2 linked regions of the Lytechinus pictus genome follow. The protein of the gene in region 2 purifies or fractionates together with the protein of the main gene of each other region. This does not show direct contact. Links are inferred from orthologs where the notes say so. Each region holds a gene or a part of one and is shown on either strand. Other genes may lie near its edges. The genes, in order: bridging integrator 3-like and dynamin-binding protein-like.

Region 1 (12,289 bases), on a different chromosome or scaffold from region 2:
TTAAATTGAACAATAAAAAGAAGTAGAACTGTAGAGGTGTCTATTTACTTAATTATATATATTATAGCAAGTCTATCTACTTAATTATATATATTATAGCAAGTTTTGGCTTGTTAGATTTTGTTCTTCTCTTTTTTATATTATACTTAATTGATACTTTAATAATTTGTTATTGTCCATTCTGCTCATAATATGATTATATGGTTAAAATATGTTTCGGTTTGTCATATTTTTCAAGCATTTTTTTGCTTACTATGGCAATCCATCTTCTGCTATTAATTTTATGCTAAATGATTTATACCTGACTTATTGTCAATATATGTTTGTTACATCTGTGTTATATTATATTGTTATGTAGAAGAAAAATAAATTAAAATCAAATCAAATCTAAATCAAATCTATTTTGAAAGAATATCGACACATAATCTGCCAAGCAAAAATAAGCATCTGTAATACAAACACTGTGCTTTTTACGCAAACATAATGTAATTTCAAATTACCATTTATATACATTGACTGAAGTTTGAAGTTTTTTATTCATTGGTGAAGAAAAAAAAACTAATAAAGTTGAGGTCGGAGTCTATTTGAAGGAGCGTGCAGCGCTTGTATAATATATAACCTTATCTGCATACCTGCCTGCCTTACAAAAAACGAATGAAACAAATAATGAATGTTAATCAGGGAGTAGCCTAGACAGGCCTATTTGGCTCTTGCTACTCCCTCACATCCCATTCATTATCTTATGTATTTTTTTTTTGTCATTTTGTCATAATTTTACAATATTCATTATAATATTCATTATTCACTCCATTACTATTGAATCATATTGATTGATTTGATTTGATCTCGATGTATTGTATTTTATATGCTTTTAGAGATGTGAAATAAATGAATTTGAATTTGGAATCTGTAAGACAAAATATTATATGTGTTTTTGCATTATTCCAACCCGCCCCCATTTTCCCCGCCCATACAATAAAGAGTGATGTGGCTAACATATAGTATTACGCACTTATGTAATGTTAAAGTTTTACAATTTTGGGTTTAAAATACTGATTCACACAGTGTCAGATGTTCTTACCAATTTGGTTCAAATATGATTTTTTTTTTTTTAAATATCTTTATACATAATGTATGCAGTTATATCTTTAATAAACAAATGGTTTCTTAAAGTGTAACAAATTTCGAAATTTGATTATTCCTCAGCCATTCTAAACAGTTAAATTCACAATCAACATTTTAGTCTAAATATATACGGGGAGGGGGCAGCATTCGATTTTAGCGTTATAGTTATACATGTTTTATGTACACAGGAGCATTCAATTTAAAGACTATTCAGTGTACACGATAACAGTCATGTACTATTCTGATGACTCTGTCTGACATAAGAATATATTTATTTAAGCATTTAGAGTGCGCCGTCTATCGAGTTTCCTATTCAGAGGCGCAGAAGGAATAATTACAAAGGGGAGAGGATGTTATTTGAAATATGATGAGAATAGATATGTCTTAAGGTTGGCTTTGAATGGCTCTATATAGACTTGGCATTGCGTATTGTTGATGATAATTATTAATAATCACTGCACATCTAAAGGCCACCTGACGCTATGCTATGTAGGCTATGGAGGGGGTGACAGAGGTGTGCAGCTCTCATGGATTGCCAGATAGTTAGAGAGCAAAAATGAATAAAAGAGAGAAAAAAGAAAAGCGGAAGAAAAGAGGGAAAGGAAGAAATGGGTGGTCGGTGAGGGGGGGGGGGGTCTGGGTCATGTAACAATCCAAAATGACACAAAACTGACATCACCTTTAATTCAATGAAGTACTCACATGAAAATGATGATCTGTCGGTTATTCACGACCAAGAAATGATAATTATGTTCAGTATATCTCATGAGTGGCTATTACAAAGTGAAATATAGGCCTTTATTGATGTTTTGTGGCATTCTTTTCTCATCATGCTCATGGTGGCTGCCTCAACTAGGTGTATATTGATAAGCGCTTGTTTATTCAGATATGTTTTATATATGATACTAAATCTTAATCTATTCCAAAATTTTATTTAAAAATCCCACTTTTATTTCAACGTAGAATATCATTAGAATAAGGGAGTTTTTCACTATAAATCGAGTTGACGTAAGGTATTATTAATTTTTGTTTCAAGATCGTTGTTTTATATCTACCACGAGGGGGCGTTATTTCATCTTCTTCAATTAGCCCTCTCGTCTTGTCTACTACCCTTTTTACACACGCTAAAATTTCCTTAACCCCGTACTATAGGTGGGGCTAAATTGCCATTTAGCCCCACCTATAGTACGGGGTTAAGCTTAGCCCACTTTCTTTTTACACAGCATTTTTGCAAAGTGGGCTAACCCCACCTTTAGTACGGGATTATTTGGCCCTGCAAAAAAGCAGGGTTATCCCAGCAATTGCGGTGCTAAGAGCGATAGTACGGGGTTAAGATCGCTAGTGTAAAACGAAAGTGGGCTAAGCTTAACCCCGTACTATAGGTGGGGCTAAATGGCAATTTAGCCCCACCTATAGTACGGGGTTAAGGAAATTTTAGCGTGTGTAAAAAGGTACGAGTGAATGAGCTACCACTAGTCCGGGGTTAGCGAGTTTCGTGTGTGAAAAGCAAGCATTCCTTATCCGGGGTTAGCGATAACAATTTGGCATGTGTGAAAAGGAAAAAAAATAGTACGGGGTTAAGGATAGTACGGGGTTAGCGATAGTCCGGGGTTAAGAAAATCCTGTGTAAAAAGGGTATACCTGTTTACAGTGAATAAATATAAGTTCGCACCGGGAGTTCGTCGGCATCAGATAATTCAGAATGGCACTCATTGAGAATGGAGCAATACCCGGTGCTTAGATGAGAAGGGGATAACGAATGATTGATTTATACACTTGATAGAAGACAAAGAAGGGGGTAGGCCGGAAACTACATTTACTCTGTGCCGGGGTATTAAGAGAACTCATTAATTAGTTTTATCACGGCATGGCAAACTTTTACTTCTTATTGTTTTTCCTACAACCCTCTTTTATTTCCCCTTCTTACTCATTATTTTGTTTACTATTGAAAAATCATTGTTGGAAAGTCGCCCACTGCGACACCCCCTCCCGCCCCCACACAGGGTACGCGGAACGAATAACATGTGGGGGCTGAACTTTCAGACTGCCATCTTTCACGATTTTTTAACATTGCTGTACTGAAAATAACGTAGGAGTACAGCCCCTTTCCCCACCCAATTTGGTTCCGCGGCCCTTGTCCCGTGGCGCGACAAATGTGTGTAACCCGGGCCGTATCCAAGTCGACTACTGGGGTGGAACATGGACATCGAGAAATCTCAGGACACTTTCATTTCTTACTAACCCTCGGGCTAACCCTATGGCCTATTTGCATCTTGAAGACTTTTACCGAGGGACTATATTCCGCATCTTCCGTTTGATTGTTTTTGGTTTAGGACCCACTGTCTTTTATTCGGTCTATTCTTTCCAACGTCGAGAACATATCTAGGAGGGGGGGGGGGGTTGTTCCACTCCGGGGTTCCACTTTGCAAAACAAGGGGATTTCTTCAGCAAGAAATGGCGTGTCAGCCCCACCCCCCCCCCCAGAAAAAAAAAGAAATTACACACAAACAAAAGTTATTACTATCTAGGCACTGCTAGGAGATGACACTTCCTATTAATTCCATAGCCATTCACGTATCCCCTTTATGGTTCCATCAAACTGTGGTTTTTTTTTTTTAATGAAGGTCTTCCAATTGCGCGAAAGTCTTCAGTTAGTATATCTACACACTGTATTCGTGATCTGGAATCTGTGCATGGCATACATTTAAAGCATTTACCCGGCGAATTTACTGAAATGTCACTGCAACAAAATGATAATAGCAATGGTAGCAAATTAAAAACCTCCAGCAACGTGCCATCTGGTCGTAAAGGGATAAATAAAAAAGTCACAGGGGTAAGGAATTACACTGAGAATGGACATGATATGCAGGCCTATGTGCAATAGTGCTTGATTCTATTCTTTCGTTTAATAGGAAATCCACAATGCGATTTTACAACATGTATAGTATAAAAACATGCATAACAATTTTCTTTAAGAAAAAACATGAATAAAGGAATATATAAACCGGCATATAAATCTGGAATGACATAAACACGAATCATTGTATGTAATATGCTCTACATGGCATCAACAATAAAAACACATTTTCAAAGTAAATGGAATCACATTCACTTTCAATATACTCACATTTTCATAACAAGACATAATAAACGCGAACATTTTATGAATATACACCTATCACATTTCTCCAATCAGAAATACTTTAACAACTAAATTTTCCTTTTTTCCTGCTACTCCCTCTCTTTCTCTCTCCATTTTTGTGTCTCACCCTCTTCACCAAGAAATTCGAAAATCATTATAAAAAGTATTTTTGGTATGACTTTGAGTCCCTTTTATTATATGATATGTACATGTAAATGTATTTTCACAAAAAAAATGCATAAAATTTACACTGTAGATCTCGATGAAGCAATTCTTGGTTTGCAGCACAGTTATAAGTACATTTACTAAGTAACCTTAAAAAAAGAACTGGGTAATATTCTTCTCCCAATAAAACTTCCTTAATTAACTGGCAGTAATGAAGTAAAATAATATGATAAATTAAATTTTTAAGCGCAGCAACTACATGAATATACTCTGTTGCACTTTGGTTACTCCTATTGCTTATACAATATACTACATGTACACACAAAAATGGATGATTCAGACATACATGTACTTTAATGCTTCCCTACACAGATGGGTCTTCAAGAATGTTTTGAAAACAGGTACAGATTGAGCCATTCTAATTGTAAGGGGGAGTTGGTTCTATACATGTATTTTATTAACACACAAATACACAATCTATGGCCCGAATTCACAAAGGTCGGCTAAAGTTATACCGGGATTAAATTTAGCCCGGGGTAAACTAATACCCGGGTATAAAGTTAGTCCACCGCGCTATTCACAAACGGTGGACTAACTAATCCATGGACTAACTTTAGCACCCGGGGTTAAATCCTGGGGTAAAATTTAACCCACGGCTGAGTTATACCCCGGTGCTAACTTTAGTCCATGGATTAAAATGACGTCAAATGACGCGTTTTATACACCGGGTATAACTTTAGTCCACCTTTGTGAATTCGGGCCTATGAGTTTTAAAACAAAATCTAAGAGAAACTTGCCAAACTCCTACATCAACAGGGGCACTTGTGAAAGGGTATATTTCTCACAATCATGAAAATGTAGACAAGACAAACTTATTGTGCATTTAAATGAGTTGCATTGGAAGGGCTAATACTTGAGAAATATGATTGAGGACACTTTACTGAAAGATCATGCTTTCTACATTTCATTACAATTTAATTTTCTTTTTCTTCTTCCAGAGCAAGTGCTGCTTCAAGATGATGGAGATAAACACAATGGTTGTGTGTATGTATGTATCTTGCCTCTTGAGGACTTTTAATATTTTGATTTACAATCATATATTTTATTCATTGATATTCAGTCATGAATGAACCCTTCATGCATCAGATCAACTACATTACCAAGTTCTTCATACTAAACAATCTGTAAGGCATGACCAAGAGATGTTATATATTGTACATTTACATTTCTCACATGTTAAATGTAACAATCACAATAAAATAATACATGATTTCAGGTGAGATAAATGCACTCCAGTTAATAATGAAACACAAAGTTTTGAAATGGTTTTCATGATGGTATCAATACTTCTGGTCCAGGATATTCTACTTCATCACACCAGAAGTCAGGAGGCTGAGAGATAGACATCAACCAATCAGGATCAGAGTCTGAAAAGGATTCCAAAGATTTTAATTCTTTGAAATAGTAGCAGTCTCTTCCAATGACCGGGTCGTAGGGAGGTGAAAGTATGTCTAGAAAGGCTGCAGGTCCACCCACTGATTCTAAGCTGTGGTAGTTCCCTTCTCTTGGGGTTAGCAGCACCGCTTCCGAAGATGGTGTGAAGCGCTGATCGGTTCCCAGTCGGGTAGGAACCAACAAATGCTTTCTCGGAGGCTCGTTTTCCGGAAAGCCTTCAAACTTGGGCATTGGAAATTTAGTCCAGTCCTCGGTGATGGTGTTGAATGTCCTTACGGAAATATCACCATAGAGCACTTTGAGGAGGCCATACATTCCGGGATGGTTATGCAGAGGGATGCGACACCCATCCCGTATGATGAACACGCCCATTGTCATAACACCATCCTCGAAGATGTGCATGTATCCTACCGGGGCGCGGTGGGGAGAGTCTCCCCCAGCTGCCGTCTCAAAAGCAGCTGGATTTGGTGGCAGTCTCTTTTGTTCTATCACAGCTCGGCTGGCGTCGATGTTCAGATCAGAAGCTCGAATGTTTGACATTGTTTCTTGTAGAGCTTTCAGATGATCTTTGTTCATATTTCTGTCCTTGAAAAACAGGCGAAATATGTCTCTAGCTTGTCGTGATAATTTTTGTAGGGATGCCATCGTTAGTTTTAATGCAACAAAAACAAAGGTGGAGATGTCGATTTAAGTCTCAGTGAAATAAGAATTACAATTTAGAAGAAATATATTTCTGTTCGAAAATTCCCTTTTTTCAATTTAAAAAAAATATTTTACCGGATTTTTATTTTTATAATGACTTATTGGATAAAATTTCAAAGAAATAACTACATTTTGGGATAATTATTGTCTAGTACTAAAAGCGCTATCAAATTGGATCGAATGAATTTTGTCAATAGTCCGATAATTTTTTTTTTGTGAATAAGGAGTGTCACGGACTAGCTGCCCCAAAACGACATAAATTGTTCATATTTCCAGCTAAATAGAACATCGTGTCTGTTTGATAAGGTCTACTGTATTAACCATTATGAGCTGGTGAGTAGAAATATTGAAATTTCATGTTTTCTTTTCATTTTAGAGCAGTGTTATTTAGTTGATGTTTTCTTACGTGATTTTGATCATGTGGGACCGAAGTGAAAAATGGGTGTTGATGGGTGGGTGTACTCCCGGATGTCTCTCCCGGATGGGTGGGTGTACTCCGGGGGGGGGGGGGGGGCACTCAGTATATAATGCATAGTGGGCATGTGTCGCGGAGGGGACCCCCATTTTTACACTCAAATTTCCGTTCCAAGGCATAGCATTTTTTGTCGGCCATTCCGTGCTTTTGGGAACTGGTAGTGCCATGGTAGCCAAATTGAACTTGTCCTCCTTTCACCACGATATGTAAAGAATCTTCGCTTCGGCGATTTTGAAAAGAACTGATGCGAGAGGCTTTGTTTACGATGCGAAGCTCCTCACACAACTGGTTACCTCTTTCCTCATGCGATGTTTAACGGGCTCAGTTTGCCATGGGTGGACAAGTTTTCAGATGACCTCGACGATTCCGCGGAATTATAATCTTTGTAATTATCCATCTACCCCGCATTTCCCTGCTCTTCAAGACCACTCTGCCACTTTCACAATGTTGACAAAAACTTATATTACAAAATCGATTCACTAAATAAATCACAAACAAGATATATCTGGGGATGAATCACTTTAGTAAACTGTATTATCTACTCGTGAAAATGGGAACCAGCATAGCTGGTTCCCATTTTCACGAGTAGATAAAGACAGTTTACTAGTGAAATTTATTTCGTCAGAGTCATCACTGACGAAATAAATCTCATTGGCAATCTCTCTCTATATCTACTCTTCAAAATGGGAACCATCTAAGAAAATTCTCCTGAATTATAAATGCTGGTTCCCATTTTCACGAGTAGATAAAGACAGTTTATTAATCAGATTTATTTCGTCAGAGAATCATCACTAACGAAATAAATATTACTAGTAATCTGTCTTTATCTACTCGCTGAAATGGGAACCAGCGTGTACAACTCTATGTGGAGTTTTCCATAGAGTTGTACGCGCTGGTTCCCATTTTGGCGAGTAGAGTAAAGTTGTTTATTAAATCTAATCGCCAAAATTGGAACCATCTAAGAAAATGATTATGAATTATACATGTTGGTTCCCATTTTCACGAGTAGATAAAGACAATTTGTTAGATTTATTTCGTCAGAATCATCACTGACGAAATAAATCTCATTGGCATTCTCTCTCTCTATATCTACTCTTCAAAATGGGAACCATCTAAGAAAATTCTTCTGAATTATAATGGTTCCCATTTTCACGAGTAGATAAAGACAGTTTATTAATCAGCTTTATTTCGTCAGAGAATCATCACTAACGAAATAAATATCACTAGTAATCTGTCTTTATCTACTCGCTGAAATGGGAACCAGCGTGTACAACTCTATTGAGAATTTTCCACGCTGGTTCCCATTTTGGCGAGTAGATTAAACTAGTTTACTCTACTCGCTAAAATGGGAACCAGTGTGTACAACTCTATGGGGAGTTTTCCACGCTGGTTCCCATTTTAGCGAGTAGAGAAAAGACGGCGACGAAATCAATCTTTCTGATCTAAGCTCTTTGAAGGATTACTTTATCTAGAATCAGCGCGCCAGCTGCGGTGAAGCAGTGAACAAGCTCGAAAAGGTAGGTAGGTCATGTCTTGTCGTGAAAAAGTGTCCTTTGGAAATTAGGAACTGGTTCCCAATTTCACGATAATGCCTTTTTTGTCTTATTGAGAAAAAGAACAAAGAAAGCCGCTCCAAAGCATAGGCATAGCATTTTCTCCTTATCGAGGAAAAAGAAGAAAGAAATCTGCTCCAAAGCTTCGCATATTTTCCGTTACGCCGTTCCAGCCGTATTGATATGCTACAGTGAGCCGCAATTTTGGTGAAAAGCGGCAGCAAAGCGCTGTCCGACCATCGCCTCTGCGCTAGGGTACCCGGCGCCCGTGCAGCTGCGCTAGCAGCATGCACGTATAGGCCCGTTCCATATATAGGGATGAATACGCACTCACAGGCAGGCAACCCGTTCCAAGGACCCCCGTTTTCACAAACATTTGTAGTTCCGAAGCCCGTTCCGAGGACCCTCCTTTTACAATAAGCCCGCTCCAAGGCCCCCCGTTTTTTCGTCTCGCCCGCGGCACAGACCTACTACTTTTTTGGTCGAATACCCCGCCCCCTGGGGGTGTACTAGAGCTAGATCTAGATCTAAGACTAAGCTTCGTTGAATATATGCACAACCAAGGAGGTACATGTAGTTGCTCCAACCCATCCCCCAGTACTACATAAAGGGAGCAGTCGCGCGTGCCCCAGGCTGTGGTACATTTTACCACACTATGTTGAACGGGAATGGATGATCGATCATGCTGCCTAGCAAAGCATACCTAACTACCTCGAGCGATGTTCGTGCAGGCTCCACTTCACTACGCTCCACCTACCCGAACATCGATACGGTGAGCCAGTTCGGATATACCGAGTCACAATCATGTTCATCGTAAAAATCAAAGAAAAAAAAAAAAAAACGAGAAAGATGAATAACTTAATATCTTACTCTACACCCATATTTCACTTTATGTCCATCCTCCGGTTATCCTCAAAATTGGTGAGTTTGGGCCAGTATCTTTTTCCTCACACGTATTATTCACGGCTGATTTCAAAACATTGCATGCGATCACGATCGATCTGACATTTTTAAAAAATTAAGCATTTTTCCCCAAGAACAAGAGAAAATAAGCAAAACATTGCCAACCAACCTTATTTCACCCCACAGGGAATCCTAACAAAAAACAAAGTTATATTGGTCATTGAATGAGTGGGTAGAGTAAAAGATTAATATAACTTTGTATGTAGGATGAGTAGTTAGATCTAACGTTCTGTAAAGATGAGGATTTATTGTTAGTGTTAATTAGAATTGGATGTCTGAGTTTCTTCTAGATTCAGTAAACTTCTTACTGGAAGAAATGTTGCTGTCCAGCAAATGTCATGAACATTTTCATCCTACACAATGGCTTGCATTCTGAGCTCGGGTTTAAAGTTGTAATTAAAGGAGAATGAAACCCTTGAAACCAGCTGAATCCATATCAAAGAGAAAAATCAAAGAAACATATTGTTGAAAGTTTGAGGAAGATTGAATGAATAATAAGAAAGTTATGAGCATTTGAATGTCGAGATCACTAATGCCATGTAGATCCTCCCATTGGCAATGCGACCAAGATCTGTGATGTCACACACGTACAACTCCCTCATTACTTTAGTACTTATTTCACTTATATTCTCACTTTTATAGAGTCTATCACAAGGTGAGGTGTTCTCTTTATGAGAGGACAAGTACAGAGGTTTCACAATATTATATCATTGATGAATCGTTTGTCATATGATTAGAATGAGCAAAAAGAGATGTTTTGGGGTATATTTTCAGTGTCCAAAAGGGGAGAGTTGTTCATCTGTGACATCATTGATCTTGGTCGCATTGCCAATGGGAGGATCTCCATAGCATTAGTGATCTCGACATTCAAATGCTCATAACTCTTATATTGCTAGTCCTATTTTACTCAAACTTTTGTTGATCTTATTCTTTGATTTTTCTGCTTTCACAAAAGCTAACTTGCTCCAAGAGTTTCATTCTCCTTTAACTATGGAGTGCCAATTGGGCACAAATCTCTTTTAGTACATGTTCAATTTATTAAGTCTTAAGACACTCAAATCATGTATAACTGTCTAAGAATGATAACTGAAATGAAAGCAAAGAGAAACAAAATAGTAGTATATTAAGAAATATACACTAGCAAAATTTTTAAAAAGTTTTTGGCTCACTATAATTTTAGCACAGTCAGAGTTAGACCATGGTCTGAGTTAAACCTGACTTCAGAATATGGGCTAATGTGTCTAGTGGGGTGTTGCAAGAAACTTGCAATTGATCGCAAGCCCCAAAATCAATTGAAATGCATGCAAATTTGCAATCAATTGATTATCTCCTTCTTGCATCAACAAGTATAAATTTATTTGCTTTAGTTTAAATTGATCTATCACTTGTAAATTTCCATCTGAAATTTGCAATTGATGGCAAATATTTTCTTGCAACACCCCCTAAATCTTTTCTTCCTCTTTCCCCTGTTTTATACAGGAACTTTTTCAGTAGATTTACTGGGGCTTCTCCAAAGAAGACTGTGCTAACTAGAGAGGTGAGTCGCTTGCTATTAAACCCATATATACATACTCAATTCTTTAGTACCCAACACAGGGGTCAACCCTTTATGGTTAAAGGTTAAAGAAAGAAGTTGCAGCACACAATTATTTCATGAGAAATTCATTGAAATCAAGGTAAATTGTTGTCACCATGTTTTCATAGATCAGGATATATACATTGAAATAAACATAACTTTGTGAAATCATGAAATCTTAGTTGAAACCGATAATTCGGATGATCATTAACACAAAAAGGCATGTGTGGGAGAGTGTATTAGTATTGCATGGAATTTTTTTTACATTTTATGGAATTATGTGCTAATTTGGCTAATTTCTCAGCAATTACACCCTTTTTCAAGAGCCATTTGGCACTTATTTCTTATTTTGTATATGTATACAAGCACTTGGGTGGTTATTTTATTGGATTCTGTTTGAACTCATTTTGAAATTGTTACCACAACTGGCATCGATAGCTCTGAAGTACAAATGCACACTGATTAAATGTGACTCCTTGCTTTCTCAATATTTCACTTACAAAATATGTGTATATCAATGTTTTCAGCATGAGGATTATGAGAACATGTGCCTATTTCAGTTGTAGAGCTCTTGCCTCAAAATGATAATGGAAATTCACATTTATTGCTCTGGAAAGTCAGGGAATTTTGAAATGTGTAAGTGTATGAACCCTTTGAAGAGTGTAGACCTCTTGCCCTCATGTATCTTGTTTAACCGTCAGAAAATCAGGTTCAGTTTATGGTATACATGAGTGCATTGTGCCCCTTTTCAGGACTAGTTTGATTCCAGTGAAAAATGAAAAGTTTACATTGTTTTCATCCCCTTCCCTTTGTTTGCAGGAGGAAAAGGATTTTGAAACTGAAGTGAATAAAATTGAAGTGTAAGTATCCTATTGTTTTAAGAATATCTAAGCTTCTTTTTGTTTGTTTTATTTTTAAAAACCTTTTTTCATGTTATGAGCCACTGAGTTGTGGTTTTCTAAACTGTCATGGAAATACATGAATGATAGCATTAATGATGATTGATGATGTTGATGATGTTGATGATGATTATTATTATGATGATGATGATGATGATGGATGATGATGATGATGGATGATGATTATGATGCTGTTGATGATGGTGATGATGTTGATGATGATGATGATGATGA
Region 2 (13,082 bases):
TCGTATTCTGACAACAGGATAGGAAGGGAGGAAATATATCAGTTGTACAGTATACATGTATCATTGCTAACATATACATATATATCTATTTTATACTGACATAGTTTTGCACAATTTTTTTTTACCTGAATCTCTTCCAAAACCAATCTCAACTTGTTATTGGTCTCGATTTGTATAGCTTCCAGTACATAGAGTTACAAATTTTAATGTATGATAAAGTAAAACTTGTTCAAGTGACAGGTCTTTTAATAGGCAATAATAATACACTGTCCCACATGTGCTAATCTCTGTTGGCAATATCCAGTTTAAGAAAACTTCATTATTCATGAGTTCAGTTTGAGTATTAAAACTAACTAAACCTTCATATATGACGATACAGTCAAATCAACACTGATGTCTTTCTCATGAAAGAATTGCTTTCTGCAACAAAATGAGTTTAGTTATAAGAGATGTCTTTCATATTTCTCCCTTAAAGGACAAATCCACCCTGACAAAAAATTATTTGAATAAAGAGAGAAAAATCCAACAAGCATAACACTGAAAATTTCGTCAAAATTGGATGTAAAATAAGAAAGGTATGACATTTTAAATTTCGCTTAATTTCACAAAACAGTTACATGTATATGCACATCCTGGTCGCTATGCAAATGAGGCGACTGATGACGTCATCTACTCACTATTTCTTTTGTATTTTATTATGAGATTATAATTTTCTCCTCATTGTCAAGTGAAACAATGATTAAAGCCTCCCTGAACATGTGGAATTAGCATTGTTTAATACCATATGGTTCAGTAAAGTCAGTCTCTATGGTCAAATCTGTAAAAAAAATGAAATATTGTATAATTCAAACAATAAAAAACAAAAGAAATGGTGAGTGATGGACATCATTGACTGACTCATTTGCATGTTGCTGAGTTGTGCATATCACTGTTTTGTGAAAATAAGCGAAACTTCAAAGTGCCATAACTTTCTTATTTTACATCAGATTTTGATGAAATTTTCAGTGTTATGCTAGTTTGATCTTTCTCTACTTATTCAAATCAAAATTTTGCGGGGGTGGACTTGACCTTTAATGAAAAGCAATTTGATGAGAGGAGATAGACGTACCTTGTATTGCTGGTTGGTTAGTGTGAGAGATGTCCTTACTCACGTAACTGACTGGAAATATCCCTGATCTACCACCTAATGATCCTTCCAACCAATGCTCATCTATCTGATGTGAAACACTTATTACCTCACCTATACAAAAAAAAAATCATTGCATTATCACTATGGCCCGAATTCACATAGGTGATTTTGAAAACCCGCGGTTGAGTCCATGATTTATGCAGATTTCCTGTATAAAGTACATGTACGCTTATTTTACCGCGTACATTAAAAAATTCCAATGCTGATGCGCGCTTTTGTCAGTGCGCCAAATTGATGCCTGATGCCGTGGTTATCCACGCTACTTTATTCACGAGTCCACTGTTTGAATTAATGAGTCCACTCTTCAAACAGTTGACTCATGAATAAAATAGCGTATCCAACCATGGTAACAGGCGTCAATTTGGCGCACTGTGACAAAAGCGTGCATCAGCATTGGACACTTGTTATACACGCGCCCGATACGCGCTAAAGTAAGCGTAATTTATACAGGAACTCTGCATAAACCAAGGATTCAACCGTGGGTTTTCAAAACCACCTTTGTGAATTCAGACCTATGTGGGGGCGTTGTGGTCTAGTGGTTAGGACTCTCGTTTCTCGATCTGAGGTTTGTGGGTTTGAATCCCAGCCATGGCGTGCTTTCCTTCAGCAACAATTAACCCACTTTGTGCTGCACTCAACCCAGGTGAGGTGAATGGATACCAGGCAGGATTAATTCCTTGAAATGGACTGAGCGCTGAAAGGCTGCTTGAGCTAAAGCCGGGGTAATAATAATAGTAACAATGCACCTCAGAATAGATTATTTCTCAATGGATGGCTCAATATGAATGCCAATTATTATTATTATCACTATTATTATCATTATTACACATGTATGCTAAAAACTGGCAACATTGCGAAAATCTAATCATTAATAAATGAAAAATCACCAATTTTCAATCATCAATCATCATTCAAAGCCTTTTGACAAGTCCTCATGACTTGGTTTTATTCCTTGGTTAAGACTAACAGTACATGTACATGTAGTCTGCCGAAGCGACACCGATATATACAAGTATACGTATATCGGTGTCGACTCGGCAGACCCAGTACCCAATAGGGTTTACATTGTTCAGACTATGCCTCATGAAATTTCATGGCAACGCAAGATAGTGTAATATTGAGATTTATAACCCTCCCCCATAATCAAGCAAAAATAATATTTCTACTAATTAATTTCACCTGTTTTGAAGCAGAGATCGCCCTCTGTGCTGCTCTCATAATCCTGTACTGCTGTGACTTGATATGAAGTGGATTTCTTCTCTGATACTGCACATATAAATATAAATGAACAAAAAATAAAAGCAAGTCCTTTAAAATAAGAATCAATAGCAGGGTGCTACATAACTTTTTAGATGAACTTGGCCTGTTGGGCAAGTAAATGTGTAAATAGTTGGAATATACTTGCCTGAAAATCTATTTCATTTGCCCAAAAAAATCCTTGAAAAAAGTTTTACTTCTTCAAAAGAAAATATTATGGTCCTAGAAACCATTGACCTTTTTTTCTCTTTTGACATGAACTGATGTACCTTGTTCTTGCAAAAAAAATTTACTTTTTTTTCTCTTTTGACATGAACTGATGTACCTTGTTCTTGCATTTCTTTTTAAAAAGTGATTTCATCTTGCCCGCCATGACCAAATTTAGGGTCGGTATATCATATTGACCCTAATTTTGGTAATTCTACTGTGAGAATTTTGCTTGCCCAATTCGGGCAAGTAGTTTTGGTCTTTACTTCAAAACACTTGCCCGACTATAACTTTTACTTGCCCCGGGCAAGTGCTTATGTAACACCCTGAATAGTATTCATTTTTGTAGAGCCATTTTAACTTTGAATGCTAACAGTGCTTTAATTATAAAAGTTGTTTACTTTTCACTCTACCTGCATAAGAATGAAAATTAGGTGACTCTTTTTAATAGAGCTATATGATCTCGGTTATGATCTCGGTTATGATCTCGGTTATGATCTCGGTTATGATCTCGGTTATGATCTCCGTCTTGATGAAGCCAAGATCCATGGTGATAAAACCAATTCAGGTCATTTTAAACGATAGATTGAATCTCTCCAGATCAAAATCAATATACAATTAATATACATATACAGAAATGACAATTAACATGTTATATATTAAATTAAAAAACAGAAATCACAAAAAAGTATATAAACAAGTGGAATGCCTCTGGCAGTCTCGCCTGCATTACGCAATTTAATATAGCAGCAGTGCTAACTTTGAAAATTACTATAAAATAATCATTCACAAAAACATCATTCATATAATGACATAATACCACGTTCATTGACCATAAATGACATTTGAACGGAGACTTAAGACTGTCAACTACACCCATGTCCACATTTCATTCACTCTATCCAAAGTTTCAAAGTTATGATGGCACTTCAACAATTACCCCAACATGGCCTAAGTTTATTGACCTTAACTGACCTTTGACTTGGTTTTGTGACCTGAAACTCACAGGGGATATTCAGTGGTACTTGATTAACCTAATGTCCAAGTTTCATGAACTAAATCCATAAATTATCAAAGTTATGATGGTAATTCAACAAATACCCCCAACTTGGCCAAAGTTCATTGACCCTAAATTACCTTTGACCTTGGTCATGTGACCTGAAACTCAGGCAGGATGTTCACTAATACTTGATTAACCTTATGTCCAAGTTTCATGGACTAGATCCATAAATTTTCAAAGTTATGATAGTAATTCAACAAATACCCTCAACTTGACCAAAGTTCATTGACCCTAAATGACCTTTGACCTTGGTCACGTGACCTGAAACTCGAGCAGGATGTTCACTAATACTTGATTAACATTATGCCTAAGTTTCATGAACTAGGTCCATATACTTTTTAAGTTATGATGTCATTTCAAAAACTTAACCTTAGGTTAAGATTTGATGTTGACGCCGCCGCCGGCGCCGCCGTCGGAAAAGCGGCGCCTATAGTCTTGCTCTGCTATGCAGGCGAGACAAAAACCAGAAAAATATTTGTACGGTGTAAATCCTAGTAAATTAAAATAAAATAATGATTATATCATTGAATCAAAAAGTAAAAAGGGTCTTATGTACACACAACAGTGACAACACCACCACCCACCCACCCCCACCCCCCCCCATAAAAAGAAAAACATCTTCCTTACGGCCCTTTACGGGGAGTCTTAAAGGTGTGTCATGACAAAGAATCTTCAGATTTTCACAACCTACTGGATAAGCTTAACTTAGCAATGAATTGACATTTCTCAGGGCCCCATTTTTAGTTTCCAAGGATCTTTTGACAATTTCTTTTTTTTGGAGGGGAGGGGCAAAATTGCCCCCAGCCCATGTAGTTTTCCCCCAGCCCGTGTAGTTTTCCCCCTGGACTGCAAATAGCAAATTTGAAAGGGTGGGGGAGGGAAGATAATAATTTTCATAATGTACATGTATACCAATATCAATAATATGTAAATTCAATTGGAATTTCTAAAAATATATCAGGGGCGTTGATACCATGTGCCCCCATCTTGAGATAATGACAATCCAGGATTTTGAAATACATGAAGAGTTGGGGGGGGGGGGGCAATAGCAAATTTGAAAATGGAGGGGGCAAAGATGACAATTTTTGTAATGAGTACCAAAATTGACATCTAAATTCCATGGGCAATTCTCAAAATATATATAGGCGGCATGCACCACTTGTGCCTCCGCCAAAGACTGCCACTAAATATTGACAGTAATTTAAGATGATGATGATGATGATGATAATGATGGTGGTGGTGATGATGATGATGGTGATGACGATGGTGGTGGTGATGACGATGATGGTGGTGATGACGATGATGATGATGATGATGATGATGGTGGTGGTGATGATGGTGATGATGATGGTGCTGATGATGATGACAATGATGATACTGATGATGAGGTTATGATGATAAAACTCACCGTTTGAGCTTGCTTCATCAACAGGCTTGACAAAGTTAGCAGGGAAGGTACCAGTCTTTCCATTACATGTCCCAGCTATCCAGTTCTCATTGATTCTCGACGTAATATCAACCTCATCTCCCGCTTTCAACGCCAACTCTCCGGGCTCCGTCGTCTCAAAATCAAAGATGGCCACCACTCGCGAGCCCACCTCCATGATGGTCGCTATGGCACCTACAACAAAATAAAGAGAATAAAGGTTTTATATAGGGGTATCCTGGTCTAGTGGTTATGACTCATCTTGGATCTGAGGGACGTGGGTTCTATTCCAACCCATGGTGTGTTTTCCTTCAGCAAGAAATTTATCCACATTGTGTTGCACTGAACACAGGCGAGGTGAATGGGTACCTGATAGAAATTTATTTCTTCAAATGCAGAGTGTGTATCTAGACAGCTGCTCTAGTAAAATAAAAATGAGGATAATTATACTGCATTACTGCAAAGCACCGAGAGATTTCTGATAAAGAAAGTGTTATTGTTAAGCACAATATGAGCAAAAAAATATTATTGTTATTATGTATATAAACTATACTCAAAGTGAATCATTCTGGTTTGATCATAACCATTTGAAGGACAATGTAAACTAAGAGAGTGCATGTCCTATAATAAACTGTGTCCCTGACATTCCCCTGACGATAATAAATTAATAAAGATTATCTAGACCCTAATGTAGGATTAGTGTTTACAGTGCAATATAGCCAAGGCAAGGGGGAAGTTCTCCCCTCTCCCACAAAAACAAAAGAGCACAAATAGCCCTGTATCCCCCAACAAAAATAATACACAAATAAATAAATAAATACATATATAAACATGTAAATAAATAAAACAAATGTAAAAATGACGATAATGATGTTTAAGCAAATACATTGTGAGAAAAAAATCAAGAAAATGAATAAAAAAATAATAATGTAAATGTTTACTATTATTTGATAGAGAGTTATACCCCTTTTATAAACCCAATTATGCGGCTAATAGCAGCATAATTTGGTCGTAAAATCGGAGGAGGACCAGAGTTATCCGCATTATTTTGATGCTGCAATTATCCGCATAATAGCGGCATCGGGACCAGATTTTGAATTTATGAACGCATTTTCAAATAATGCGGATAATTGCCATGGTGCGGTCATAAGGTCACCCTTTTCCAACACAACCGCATCGGAGGGCGCGTGTGCAGTTGTCATGACGATTATCCGCCTTTTTCAGGACGGGCGCTCGTAAAAATAGTGCGGATTATTTTCGGAGTTTGTGAACGCAATTCTTATTGAATTATCCGCATTACTATTAGGCGGCTAATTGGAGGATGGGTTTATGAAAGGGGTATTAGAGGAAAGTTTTGACAAGGAATTATTTTTTCAACTAAAAAGACATGCTGACTTCAACTCGATCCTGCTTAGAAACCTTTATTAAACATGAAAGTGACAATTAGAATCAGATGACACTTGGCTATCACATGTCTTATAAACACACAGGAAATTGTAATCAAGCAATTAACTTGGATTAACACTCAACCTTACATAGCATACTGTATAATATAATCAATGAAATGTGAAATAATCATATACATGTACAGTAAATACATACTGTACATGTAGGTATTTAAGTTCATATTAGAATGTTCCTGTGTGATATGATTGCAAATAAGCATGATCTCTATGTGTACTCAGTAATTCAATACTGCTCTAGTGCTAATCCAATTTGGAAACCTACCAGATACAAACATGTAGCCTATGTAGCACTTGATCACATATAGCCAATTTATAATTCGTTTGTGGTAGCCTAAATGTATTCCTAACAAAATTATTGCTCTCATTACCACTACACAATATACTTGTTCATCATTCATTTTCTATTCGTCCTATTTATGATTATCACCTCAGGTTTTCACATATAATAGGCCTGTACAAGTATGTCGAAATAGAATGTGATTAATTTCGAGATGTCGTCATTTTCACGTCACCAACACTCCCTTCACCCTTGCCATCTACACACAGTTCATATGTATTCACTCTTCTCTTTAGCTCACCCACCCCTCCCTCCCTCCCTCCCTCACCAACCCTAACCACTGTCCCTCCTTCCATCCCTCCCTCTCTCCCATCTTTCACTTACTACCTCCCTTACCCACCCCACCCTCGCTCCCTCCACTCACCCACCCCTCCCTCCCTCCCTCACAACCCTAACCACTGTCCCTTCATCCCTCCCTCGCTCCCATCTCTCACTTACTACCTCCCTTTAATACCCACCCCACCCTCGCTCCCTCCTCTCACCCACCCCTCCCTCCCTCCCTCACCAACCCTCACAACTGTCCCTTCATCCCTCCCTCGCTCCCATCTCTCACTTACTACCTCCCTTTAATACCCACCCCACCCTCGCTCCCTCCTCTCACCCACCCCTCCCTCCCTCCCTCACCAACCCTCACAACTGTCCCTTCATCCCTCCCTCGCTCCCATCTCTCACTTACTACCTCCCTTTAATACCCACCCCACCCTCGCTCCCTCCTCTCACCCACCCCTCCCTCCCTCCCTCACCAACCCTCACAACTGTCCCTTCATCCCTCCCTCGCTCCCATCTCTCACTTACTACCTCCCTTTAATACCCACCCCACCCTCGCTCCCTCCTCTCACCCACCCCTCCCTCCCTCCCTCACCAACCCTCACAACTGTCCCTTCATCCCTCCCTCGCTCCCATCTCTCACTTACTACCTCCCTTTAATACCCACCCCACCCTCGCTCCCTCCTCTCACCCACCCCTCCCTCCCTCCCTCACCAACCCTAACCACTGTCCCTTCATCCCTCCCTCGCTCCCATCTCTCACTTACTACCTCCCTTTAATACCCACCCCACCCTCGCTCCCTCCTCTCACCCACCCCTCCCTCCCTCCCTCACCAACCCTCACAACTGTCCCTTCATCCCTCCCTCGCTCCCATCTCTCACTTACTACCTCCCTTTAATACCCACCCCATCCTCGCTCCCTCCTCTCACCCACCCCTCCCTCCCTCCCTCCCTCACCAACCCTAACCACTGTCCCTTCATCCCTCCCTCGCTCCCATCTCTCACTTACTACCTCCCTTTAATACCCACCCCACCCTCGCTCCCTCCTCTCACCCACCCCTCCCTCCCTCCCTCACCAACCCTCACAACTGTCCCTTCATCCCTCCCTCGCTCCCATCTCTCACTTACTTCCTCCCTTACCCACCCCACCCTCGCTCCCTCCTCTCACCCACCCCTCCCTCCCTCCCTCACCAACCCTCACAACTGTCCCTTCATCCCTCCCTCGCTCCCATCTCTCACCCTCCCCTCCCTTCATCCCTCCCTCCCTCCTTCCCTCACCCACCAACCCACCCACCCCTCCATTCCACCTTCCCTCACCCACCCCTCCCTCCTCACACCCTCCCCCCCCTTCATCCCTCACCCACCCCTCCCTCCATCCCTTCCTCCATTCCTCCCTCCCTTGCCCACCCCACCCACCCCTCCCTCCATCACTCCCTCACCTACCCTTACCACTGTCCCTCCTTCCATCCCTCCCTCCCTCAATCACTCCCTCACCCAGCCTCTATCCCTCCATCCCTCCCTCTCTCCCTATCCATCCCTCCCTCTATCACAATATATGCATGCAGGATATTAGTCTTTATTGATTAGTTGAGCCCCTGAATGAGATTAGATCCAACGATCATCCCTCACTGCTTTAATATACAACCCAGCTACAGTGAATCATCTCTCACTATAATGTCCTCCAAGGGGTTGTTCAGATGCACAGATCATCCCTCATAAAAATGTATCTTGTCCTCAAAGGGTTGTTCACATGAACAGGTCAACCCTCCTGATTATGTATCTTTTCCTCAAGTGGTTGTTCACATGAACAGATTAACCCTTTCTATGATATATCCGAGTTCAAAGGGGTCATTCACATTTGACCATCAATTATGATAAATTGATAATGTATTCAGTCATCAGAGGGGTTGTTCACATACATGTACATATAATTCCTTTCACCCTTTGTATGATAATGTATCTTTTGTTCACACGGGTTGTTCACATAGAGTAGATCATCCATTATAAAGATCCAGACCAGAGCTAAAAGTGACATTGACAAATGTGAAAAGGCTACATAGTACAGCAATGTTTTAAAGTTGCATATTCACTCCTTGACAGCTGAGTACTTTGCCTCAATAAAATGACGTCACACTGCATCAGGAGGGTTGTGATTCCATGGACCTACTGTGATTCCAATGCTTTGTAGAAATCTAAAGGATTACAAATTATTTCCAAATTATGAAGTGGATTTTTTCGTCATTTTACAGAGGAAAAAGGGCACCGACAATTAGGCTACATTCAGCGCTCAAATGGATGGAAACCCGAAACGTCACTTATTCATTATTTTTATCATTGTTATTTGCACTGTACTAATTACTAATCATACCTTTATGAAACATATGTACACGTTCATCGTTATCAAACCAATCATCGAAATCATCATCAGTATCAATTCATCACTATACGTACAAGATATTAACAACTATTTTGCATTATTTTCTAATTCATTTATCATGGAAATGTCTCTCTTTTTTTGTAAAAGGTATAAATGTACAATTGAACTGGGAAGTTTCATTTCATACTAAACTGGTTTCACTGTATTACAGTACATCAAGCCATAGCATTCATCAGTACACACGTGCAGTGGATGAAGCCCCTATAAGCTCCATGGCTATCTCTACATGCTCACCATAAATGTATATTGATTGATTCATTCGTCCAGTGCCGCATTCAGTTTGCATACAAACAGTTTTCTCTACTGCTTCTAATAACGCCTGGCTAATCCAATGCGCTAGCCTGGCCACTTGTAGAGGTCAAATACATGTGTATTAAACACACTGAGCAGGGAAGGAATGTACTCCCTTTCACTGAGGAAAGGATTAAACAATGATTCACATAATGTACAAAGTTATGACATGTACACAGTAAAATTGAAAAAAAAAATGCTTTGAATTATCAATACTTATATATATTGCCCAATATCTATACATATATGTAATTTAATATTTCATATATTTGAAATGTACATGATATTTTACTTTTAAACCAGCTAGAGATTTAGTTTGTATTCATTTTATGTTATCTCATTCTTTCTTCCATACCCTGTACTTCTAATAATAGAAAAAAGACAGTATATCTCCACTTTGTGCAGATTAGTATGCTTTATAAAAAAAATCATCAATTATTATTCTGTGAATAATTCTGTGTGTACCTGTATACGTATAATGATCAAATCCTATATTGTATTCAAAAGGGGTGGGGGGGGGGGGGTAGTGACTAGTGACCAACGCTACATGTAGGTCCCCACTTTAATAGTGTGATGTCTTTAATCGTGTACATGTAAACCAAAGGAACAAATCAAATGGTTTCTCTTTAGCAATGTTTTTTTATATTCTGTTTGAAATGTTTCACGTTGACTCGTGTATCATTTGTTAAACACGGAATTGTTGAAAACAATGTGTTCAAACTAAACAATGAAACGACCCTGTATATATATATTAACAATAATACATTTCAGTATTAAAATCATTTGTCATTCAATTTCAATCTATTAAAAATTACAGATTGGGGATAAGTTTCACTCAAGTTTCCTAATGAATGCAAAATGTAAAATACACTGTGCACAATTTCATTTTGTGGCCCAGTGAATTAGTCTTCTGACTTTGAAACAGAGGGTCGTGGGTTCGAATCCCAGCCAAGGCATAATTTCCTTCAGCAAGAAATTTATCCACATTGTGCTGCACTCAACCCAGGTGAGGTGAATGTGTACATGTACATGGCAATGATGGCAGGATTAATTCCTTGAATGCACTGAGTGCTGAAAGGCAGCTCAAGCTATTAAAAGCTGGGGTAAAAATAATAAACAATGCACCTCGGAATAGATTATTTCTAGATAGATGGTGCAATATGTAAATGCCTATAAATATTATTATTGTTACTCAAGAAAGAGGGCATCCATACATGTAGCCTGTCATTATTGAAGCTTTCAATTTATCTTTGGTGCATTAATCGTTAATGACTGTATCTCAATAAGCATGATGAAAAAAAAATCACGGGTAAAATGATACATGGCAACTTTTAATTAACTTCTTTCCCCATGTCTTATCATGTTATAATGTATAATGTTTTTTTTTCTTTTCAAAGTGTTAAAAATGAATCTGTATGGTTACCAATTTGAGGATCAAAAGCTAATAATGCTATGGAAGCTGGTACAGATTAATGAATGAAGAAAACATTCATTCCACCAGGGAGTCTAAAGATAAAAAATGTCATTGGTCCATTTAAATTACTAGCCTTAGAATTGAGCTACAATGTACTCTCAAATGTTAACATAAAAAAAATCCATGGCTTGAAGTTCAAGGTTCCAAAATTTGGTACCTTTATAATTGTACCTTTTTATCATATAAACTCATATATATTTATTCATGATAAGCATGAAAATTTATGTAGAAAGCTATTAACAATTGATGCCAATTTGAGGATTATAGGCAAGAAGACATTCATCCCATTAAAGAGCCTCTTGATAAAGCTGTGAAATTAAATTGTCGTTGATCCATCAATTTACATGCTTCACCACCCTATAGATGGTCAACCCATCAATCATTCACGATGCAATCAATGTATATGCCTCACCACCCTATAGATGGTCAACCCATCAATCATTCACGATGCAATCAATTTATATGCCTCACCACCCTATAGATGGTCAACCCATCAATCATTCACGATGCAATCAATTTATATGCCTCACCACCCTATAGATGGTCAACCCATCAATCATTCACGATGCAATCAATTTATATGCCTCACCACCCTATAGATGGTCAACCCATCAATCATTCACGATGCAATCAATTTATATGCCTCACCACCCTATAGATGGTCAACCCATCAATCATTCACGATGCAATCAATTTATATGCCTCACCACCCTATAGATGGTCAACCCATCAATCATTCACGATGCAATCAATTTATATGCCTCACCACCCTATAGATGGTCAACCCATCAATCATTCACGATGCAATCAATTTATATGCCTCACCACCCTATAGATGGTCAACCCATCAATCATTCACGATGCAATCAATGTATACGCCTCACCACCCTATAGATGGTCAACCCATCAATCATTCACGATGCAATCAATGTATATGCCTCACCACCCTATAGATTGTCAACCCATCAATCATTCACGATGCAATCAATTTATATGCCTCACCACCCTATAGATGGTCAACCCATCAATCATTCACGATGCAATCAATGTATATGCCTCACCACCCTATAGATGGTCAACCCATCAATCATTCACGATGCAATCAATTTATATGCCTCACCACCCTATAGATGGTCAACCCATCAATCATTCACGATGCAATCAATGTATATGCCTCACCACCCTATAGATGGTCAACCCATCAATCATTCACGATGCAATCAATGTATATGCCTCACCACCCTATAGATGGTCAACCCATCAATCATTCACGATGCAATCAATTCATATGCCTCACCACCCTATAGATCAGGGGTTCTCAAACTACGGCCCGCGGGCCGGATCCGGCCCGTGGAGCTTCTCAATCCGGCCCGCGAGACTCTGGATTTTTCAATCACTTTTAAGTCACACTATGAAACATAGCTCAATATGATTACATCGTGTATCCATGTCGACCTAACCGTATAATGGCAGTCAAATTAAAAGTTTAGTGGAGTCTTTTCTGTCTGTTCGATCTACTTTCTTATTAGTTGACCAGCGCTGTTCTCACCATGTTTGGATCTATACATACAGGTGCGAAAGTGCATTTTCCACAATGAACATTATAGAGAACTAACTAACCGAAGTTAGTACCTTGACAGGCTAGGGCCGCGGAACGGTTTTCAAAGTGGGG

What was found.
Region 1: the proteins of dynamin-binding protein-like (region 2) and bridging integrator 3-like purify together in Homo sapiens (co-immunoprecipitation; 5 studies listed by BioGRID and IntAct, counting the BioPlex papers as one, with this or other methods). This does not show direct contact. The link is inferred for Lytechinus pictus from reciprocal best matches to the Homo sapiens genes DNMBP and BIN3.

Annotation. Positions count from the first base shown.
Region 1 is NC_087256.1:23,593,433-23,605,721, reverse strand, and holds the start of bridging integrator 3-like, read left to right. Parts: upstream 1-6,773; 5' UTR 6,774-6,914; coding exon 6,915-6,922; intron 6,923-11,059; coding exon 11,060-11,117; intron 11,118-11,975; coding exon 11,976-12,016; intron 12,017-12,289. Other genes in the region: 2-aminoethanethiol dioxygenase-like, read right to left, coding at 5,762-6,532. UniProt on the Homo sapiens protein: Involved in cytokinesis and septation where it has a role in the localization of F-actin.
Region 2 is NC_087250.1:26,929,458-26,942,539, forward strand, and holds the start of dynamin-binding protein-like, read right to left. Parts: upstream 5,332-13,082; 5' UTR 5,318-5,331; coding exon 5,122-5,317; intron 2,456-5,121; coding exon 2,369-2,455; intron 1,241-2,368; coding exon 1,109-1,240; intron 8-1,108; coding exon 1-7. UniProt on the Homo sapiens protein: Plays a critical role as a guanine nucleotide exchange factor (GEF) for CDC42 in several intracellular processes associated with the actin and microtubule cytoskeleton.